Coturnix japonica: one gene and its partner. The protein of the gene in region 1 purifies or fractionates together with the protein of each later gene. This does not show direct contact. Links are inferred from orthologs where the notes say so. Each region holds a gene or a part of one and is shown in the gene's direction. Other genes may lie near its edges.

Region 1 (3,916 bases):
TGTCAAGTTACTCATGTATTTATCTGCCACAACAATACACGTCCTCAATATTGAAGTCATTTCTATACACACTCCTTGCCTCATGCACACATTTAGAAGCATTAGAACAAGAAATGCAAATCAGCATTCATGACTTTTTAAGCAAGCTATACTTACGGGCAGAGTTCAACTTCTAGATACTGCTCACTCCTGTCACTCAAGAAAAATGCTTCTACAACTTAAGAAGAGACAAGCTGTCAATGTTTTATACTACTTAGTTGTTTTATTATATTCTAAGCCTTTCACAGTCAATTGTTTTCACAGTGGTTTTTGGCCTGTGCTGTCACTGAGTTTGACTGTGTGCACACCACTGATGCTTTCTAATTCAAGAGCTGTGCATTAATCCCAGCCTTGAGCTTTTTTAAATGCTGTCAACATGATGACAACAGCTCAGTTCTATTTATTGACTGTTCACCATACTGTCAATTGTGTGATGAATACTAGAGTTTCTCTCTTGATTCAACTTTATAGTTGAATACACCACAATGCTCATGGTTACTTAAGGAGCTTTCTTAACCATGCTGGTGGTTACAACCATGTTTTTTGCCAGTGGTCTTTTCCAGAGTGCTCAGGATGAAGCTGTCAGATTAAACAGTTTTCAAAAATAGCCAGAGAAACTTAAATAACGACCAGGTAGATCAATTACAGATGAACATCAGTGACTTCACTAATCAGATACTTGCAGCAGAAGTTACACTTACCTTCATAGTCCCACAGTTTTCTAAAGGGTTTCCCCGCAGCTCCAAGTGGTGCTGGAGGATCATTGAAGAAGGGAGCACTAACTTGCATTAGCAGTCCTGCATTGTAAGGCTTCAATGCAATTGTTACTGGGTCATGGCTCACGGGTAAACCATCCCACGTGTGCTCAATTTGTAGCTCCATCTTAACATTCTGCATAAGATAAATAAGAAAATTAGTTCCAATCAGAGCACATAGCTACCATTCCAACACTGACTTCATTGTCTGCTTGGTTAAGAAAAAAAGTCTCACAGTTAAGTAGGTGAAAAAATAAGCATAAATCAACATTAGTATAGTGAAAGAAATCACGTTCTGGAGGTGTTATGCAGTCCTTACAGGACAGTGATAGGACAAGGGAGGATGATTTTAAGCTCAAGGAGGGAAGGTTTAATTGGATGTGGGGGAAGTAGTGAAAAAGATGAGGTAAATGGATATAAGAACCCAAGATGGTGATGTGAGAAGTATGACAAAGACTGCAGAAAATTCAAAGCAAAGCAACTTCCTCGGAGGAGGGGTTCATAATGCCCACCCAGCACCCACAGCCGACCACCCCCATAGCACACACCGAAGCCCCGTGCAGGCTCGGTCCGGAAGCTTTAAGCCCGGCACGGTACCACCCTCCTCCCCTCCACGTGACCGGCGCTGAGCTCCCCTCCCCGTTATGGGAGGAGCCGGTACCGGCCGTTTCCCAGTCGCGTGGAGGTGGGGGCGAGAAAAACGGGCTGCGGTTACCGGCCCGCTGTGCCCGTCGCACCGGGTGGGCGAGAGGAGCGGTTTCCCTTTGCCCTCCCCTTAGCAGCGCTCACCCGCCGGGGATGTCTTTGGCGTGACGACACGGCCATGGAGCTCGGCAGCGGGGCAGAGCCGGGTGAGAGCTGGGCGGGCGGCCTCGGGGCTGTGCCCGGCCTTGGGGTGGGTGGGCAGCTTTAAATGCAGCTTAAACCAAGCGAGACTTTGACGGCAAAAGAAAATCATTCCTGCCTCAGTGCCCTCTGAGTGGGCGCGCGTTGACTTACCGTATAGTTACCTTACTCTTGTATGTAGCTGCTTGTTTTGTAGTTATGTGACTCTAAGTGGAGCTCAGGGCAAACCTGCGTCTTTCTGAGTGCCAGCCAGCTTCACCCAGCTCACAGTTAGCATTGCATGATCCTCTAACCTGTATTTTTCAGATCCGAAGCTGGATGTGTTTGAGCAGGATGAAGCAGAGGAGGTTTTGTGTAGTGCTGCTGAGGTATGTGAGCTGGGGAGTGAAAGCGAGGTAAAAAGTAACGTTTGAGGTATGCATCTTCATATACATCTGTGTGTGAAACAGTGTTTCAGTGTGGTCTTGCTTGGCTTCAAGCCCCTCACTGAGCTGTCATCAAAGCATCTCCTGGAAAAAAAGCAGTGAAAATTTCCTTCAAATCTGGCCAATGTTCAATGGCTTCAATACCAACCTGAAAACATTTACTGGGGTGTCTGTATATTCTTTTCAACGTAGACAGAATAAACAGCTTTGTTTTGCATACATTAGTATAAATAAAACTAACCCACATGCAGTCATGTACAGGTGCTAAAACACAGAATAATCAGTTACAGAAGAACATCGCTGGAGGTGATGGTGTATCCAGATCCAGGATGATGGACCAAAGGTAACTGATCCCAGTTGAGTGGGGATACTGCTTCAAAGGGAGATTATATTACTTAAATAAGTGTACGAGTAGGACTGTGTTTATTTGTTTAACTTTTTACATCACCTTATAGGTTACTGTGCTGTTGTATTGAAAGCAGTAGGAAAGCCTGGTTTCTAATCTTCCTGGATTGTGATCTATGTATGAAATATAAATGTATTAAAGCTCGCCTAGAAAGCTTAATGCTTAATGATCATACTGTAAAGGTAGTGATGGAAGTTGTTTGCTTGGTGGTGGTGCGTGTTGGGCTTGGAAATAAAGAGAAGCGACGGTTTTGTTCTGTTCTTCAGATCATGAATTCTGTGAAGCTGGTTAATTGTCAGAACAACATTTCAGCATTTACAGATGGATTCTAAGCATGTTTTTCCATGTTTCAGCTTGATAACAAAGAGCGTAGAGTATGAGAAGTGCTTGGAAGAAATGAGGGAGCAGCTGCAGATTTATCAGGTATGTTTCTGGCATCCTGTGACTTTTCCTGCAAAACAAAGTCTTAATGTCATGGATGGCATTGTGCTGAACTAACCTTGTCAGTGTTTTCAGTATTGCTCATTGAAATAAGAAGTTGCCGCCGTTTGCCACAAAGCTGTTTTTTTATTAGGTGCAAATGAGTGAAATGAGACAGAAATTTGAACAAGTCACCATGGAAAACAGAAGGTAAATAAGTGCACTGAACTACTGCTGCTATTTTTCATGTGGGTTTTTTTTTCTGTCTCTTAAATCTTAAACTCTTTTTCCTAAGGCTTGGGAATGTTTGAATCCGCTTAATAGTTGAAGATTTCATACTCGTGCTTAATGTTACTCTAGGTGTTTAATATAGATTACAGCACCAACTTCGGAGGCTTAGCCATATCTCTGCAAAAGAACTCGGTATTAAACTATTTATAACCCTTTTCATAGAACATATCTTGCTCGATATATTTAAACGTGAGCCAGGGATGTATGGTACATACAAACCAAAGGCACGGTACCTCAGTTAGTTTATAAACATTGCATTAAATACTTTGCTGAACTTAGTCCTTTGCATTTCAGGCTGCATGCAGAGTTGAAAGAGGCTCTTGAGATGCAGCTGGATGCTCTTCCTTTCACGCCGCTGGGAACTGCTATTCCTGCAGATGAAGAAATACTGAGAAACCTTCAGGAGCAACTACAACTCGCAAACCAAGTGTGTGAGATGAAACGCTTGTACTTTTCTATTTCTTCTGCCCCTTGGCAGATTAGGGAAGGATAGTTTATTTCTTGGTTCAGAATTGGTTTATAACAGATCCCTGACAGCATTTTGAGGCCTTCCTGATGGTGTGGATCTAAAGAAAACCTCAAGCACACCCGTACTTATATTTTCAACTTCAAAACCTGAAGGAAGTCCCTCTCTAGTTTCATACAAGTAGGAAGATTTTATGTTAATTAGTGCCTCTGATTTTTACCTTGTTGAATTTCTGTCCAGAACGTGAAGCAAATGTTTTGTTGGGTTG
Region 2 (3,916 bases), on another chromosome or scaffold:
GAAAGTTTTGATATTATTTTAGCAAGCACAAATATTTTCCAAAGCAGTTTAGTCTTCCAGAACCAAGCCTGGTTTGTCACCAGTACGGCCCTGACAAAGCCAAATTCTTTGCCTGTTTTGAAAAATAACAAAATTGTAGTATATGAAAAGTGTTTTCTTGTTCAAATGCCATGTAGCATTTGACAGTTTTCTGCACCGACAATCAGCGATGCATTCAAAGTATGTGTCAGGCTGACAGGGTGTTTCATGGCTGACATTTGTAAATAGCAAGTTTTTAGTGTCTCACCTCAGTGTCAGAGGGGAGATTATTTACTTTGACGTAGATATTAGCAATACGAGCTCTTGCAAGCAATTTAACTATGAAGCTGCTATGAAAACCTTATTATTTCCAAGCAGCCAAGGAGCGGCTCCAGTTGGAGTGGCAAGACCCCACACTGAGAAGCGGTGGCTGAGGCAGGGTGGCTTCCATCCATATCTTGGGGTTAAAACTATCCAGCTTTGGAAACTCAAGCAAGGCCAGATCTACATTTCTTCTGTTGTCTTTTGTTAAGATGTGAAACAGGGGCTGTGGTGAGGTCTCAATAACACATACTTGCTTTCAATAGCTAGAAGAGCGAGAAAGAACAGTGCACCCTTTATTACGAGTGCGTTTCGTGTGAATTCAATAACAAAAGGCTCCCAAATCTGCAAACACTTTGCATACGGATTTTCTTCAGTAGACAAGCTCTTACACCACCTACAGCCTTCTGTATCTTATAGAGCCATTTATTTATAGTGGATATACAGAGGCTAAGCCAGAGAGTAGTTATGATTATTCAAGTGACAGAAGCTAATTTGGGGGGCATTATAAGTACTGCTGCATCACTCCGGCAGAGGTTCTGCTGTACATTTAAGCTTGGAGGACTGAGTTTAAGGCTGTAGGCAAATGCTGCCCTGTGGGCACAGCAGCTGGAATGGGGTTATCACTGTGGGGGATCATCCCTCTGCTGAGGCTCTGGGGCTGATGAGCTCCGCATCCAGACCCCTCACAGCTCCGCTGCCCTTCTCTGGACACACTCCAGGCCCCATACTGCAGTTAACCACGCTCCAACCCGCAGCTCGACTCCACACACAGCCCCAACCCGCTTCCCTTCCCCCTCAATCCACACAGCGCGGCCTTCCGGGGCGGGGCGGGCGGGCGGCGCGGGGCAGGGCGGGAGCCGTTGCGTTGGCCACGGCCGTAAACAGCGCGGCATGAGCGGAGCGGGCCGAGCATCGGGCCCGGAGGGTTCTCCGTCCCACAGCCGGCAGCTCCGCGGCCTCATGCGGAGCCTCCGAGACAGGTGAGGGGGAGCAGGCCGCGGGTGGAGCTGTGGGGCCGGGTTTGGATGCTGAGGAGAACGAGTGTGGTGAGGCAGGGCTCGGTAGTTGATTCCGTGTCTGGTTCTACGGTGGTTCTTATTGCGTCGTATCCAAGTGCTTCACGGTTCTCTGTGTGTTTGTCTCTACAGGGTGTCATACTGCTCCTCCTGCATTATGGATATGGGGCTGAAGCACTAAGAGGCTGAGGCCTGATATTGCAGGAAGCATTGAGGCATCTTAGTCCTGCTGGTTTAAATGAGAGGTGAGGGATCAGATATCGCTGCAGGTCAATGCCTGGTGGAATGCCAGAGCTTGTAGCTGAGCAGGGAGTTTTAATTCTGCTTTCAAATCCCAAGCTGACCCTCTTTTTCTTTAGGCTGAGGAATCGGGGTTGTTTGAAAATGAGCCACCTGCATCCTTACAAAGTTCAGCAGTTCTTGCCTGTTTGAGAAGGAATTTTATAACTGATCATTTGCTTTAACCTAATGGGAATAAAAATCCCAGGCTGAGAGCTTTGTTCTTCAGGTAAAAAAGGTGATGTAGTAACAGAGCGGCCAAAGGTAACCCTTGTATTCCTTCAGGCTTCACTCCTGTGACTGACACCAAAGTTGTATTAGAACAACTCCAGGGCTTCCACTTCATTGCATGAATAGAGCAAAGCAGCGTGAGCCTTGTGGTTTGCTGTTCCAGGCATTTATAATACTCAGATGCTGAGAGGCTCTCACATGACAGTTGCTACATTTCTCTATCTTCCTTCTAGAGAAGATCTGAATTACATACTCAGGTGCTACCTGTGTATCTGCAGGACAGGCCGGTGAGTGGGATGCTGGCAAAGCACACTGGGAGAAAGAAAGCAATCTTTGATGAACTAACAACGTGCTGCCTATGGTACTGGGGAATGAGAAATAGGAGAGATGCCAATGGCATCTGCTGACTTTTACATCCATCAGGATATCACAGTGTTCTTCATCGAGTCAGGAAAATTACTTCTAGAAGTGTAAAAACAAGATCTTGAAATCTGGTTTTGCTTAGCTGTCCATCATGTAAAAGGAAATTGAAAGGATGAGATCCCAGATGAAGCGTGGCTTTTAAATTGCATACATGACATGAAAACGTAATCTTGCTTCAGACCGTGGCAGGATCAGATGGGTAAAATGGATGCCTTGATCTCACGGGCTGTGGAGGAGGAAGCCTTTCCTTGCTTTCCTCTGTGCAGGGCAGCTGGGAGGAGGTGAACATGTGTGGCTGTGACATGAGGCTGTTCATAGGGGAGCACAGGCACATGGAAAAGCATGCCTAGCCACGTGTGTGCATACAGACTTGTCCACATCACACTCACATGCGCAGCCTTCCTAGCTAGTACAAATGTGTGTTCATTTTTTAATAGAAGAAGCAAACAAAAAAGCCATAAGGAACATGCTTTGATTTAATAACGTGCAGGGTTTACAATGCGAGTTTACTGGAAGCCCTTGACTTTGTTTATTTTTGCTCATGGGATGGTTTCTTGCTGTCAGAAATGGTCCGTGGTTATTAAGTAATATTATCACCGTTATTCATTTCTCCTTCTGAAAACAGAGGGTTTTTTTTCTTAAGCAGCCCTATCCTCCCCGTGGGCCTATGCCCATGTGTGCTTTGGGTATTTAAGTTATGAAATAATTGTGTCTTATCCTATGTGGTATGTTTTCTTTCAGTGAAACCAGAAGGCTACAATTGGAAAGGAAGCTGATGGAATATAAGAGTTCCGATGCATACCTGTAAGCCTGATTGAAAGACTTCTCACTGGTTGTTTAATTTCACTTACAAAGACTTCAATATCATGGAGTGCTTACGGAGTGGCACTCAAGGGACTTCTATAACTGATTTTATATTGATATTTTTAAGTGCAACGGAAGATTCAAGCCTTGAAGTTATTGGTGAAATAGCTTATGACAACATAGCTACCTTGCTATGTTAATACTGAATGTTACTATCTTAACAACTGCACAAAACTAACATGCACGCCAATGTGAAGTCATTGTAGTGTGAAATATAGGAAGTGTTTCCTCTCTCGTGCTCTGTGCTACAGTTATCGTGTCACAGGATGCCTGAAAGTTTTAGGAAGTGATAAAGAATATTCTAGGTTCTAAGTTTGCTCCCTGGATTGTTTCTGCATTATCTCTTTAATGTAAGTTACACACACACACACACACACACACACACACACGGAGCTTAAAAAGCCATGTAGTCTCTTAATAATTGTGTTTTATCTCAAAGCTTCTCCTCTTTTCCTCTCTTCTTTTACACATAAGCCATGAAATTTCTGTCCCAAGCAGCTTAGACAGAAGGGTAGCAGTTTCTGGAACTGATAGCATTCCCAGTGAGCTTAGGAGCATCAAAAGATCCTACCTCTCCCATGTCCTGTGTAGTTCTGAGGGGGTTATGAGCTTGAGAAGTATTGAAACATAGGTGTATTTGTAAAGGAAAATAGTATGAAAGGGGCATATTGTTTCTTTGAAACAGCGGCTGTGGTGTCTGCGTGGATGGAAGTCTCCTAAGATGCTGGGAAAGGCATCTGGAATTCTAGTGAGGAGCAGAA

The links.
Region 2: the proteins of SCLT1 (region 1) and KIZ purify together in Homo sapiens (co-immunoprecipitation; 3 studies listed by BioGRID and IntAct, counting the BioPlex papers as one, with this or other methods). This does not show direct contact. The link is inferred for Coturnix japonica from reciprocal best matches to the Homo sapiens genes SCLT1 and KIZ.

Annotation. Positions count from the first base shown.
Region 1 is NC_029519.1:30,028,419-30,032,334, forward strand, and holds the start of SCLT1 (sodium channel and clathrin linker 1), read left to right. Parts: upstream 1-1,533; 5' UTR 1,534-1,617; coding exon 1,618-1,645; intron 1,646-1,946; coding exon 1,947-2,008; intron 2,009-2,316; coding exon 2,317-2,408; intron 2,409-2,824; coding exon 2,825-2,894; intron 2,895-3,045; coding exon 3,046-3,101; intron 3,102-3,476; coding exon 3,477-3,609; intron 3,610-3,916. Other genes in the region: C4H4orf33 (UPF0462 protein C4orf33 homolog), read right to left, coding at 157-217, 741-930, 1,307-1,333. UniProt on the Homo sapiens protein: Adapter protein that links SCN10A to clathrin. Regulates SCN10A channel activity, possibly by promoting channel internalization.
Region 2 is NC_029518.1:4,145,431-4,149,346, forward strand, and holds the start of KIZ (centrosomal protein kizuna), read left to right. Parts: upstream 1-1,175; 5' UTR 1,176-1,233; coding exon 1,234-1,322; intron 1,323-1,490; exon of another isoform or gene 1,491-1,603; intron 1,604-1,717; exon of another isoform or gene 1,718-1,866; intron 1,867-3,032; coding exon 3,033-3,095; intron 3,096-3,916. UniProt on the Homo sapiens protein: Centrosomal protein required for establishing a robust mitotic centrosome architecture that can endure the forces that converge on the centrosomes during spindle formation. Required for stabilizing the expanded pericentriolar material around the centriole.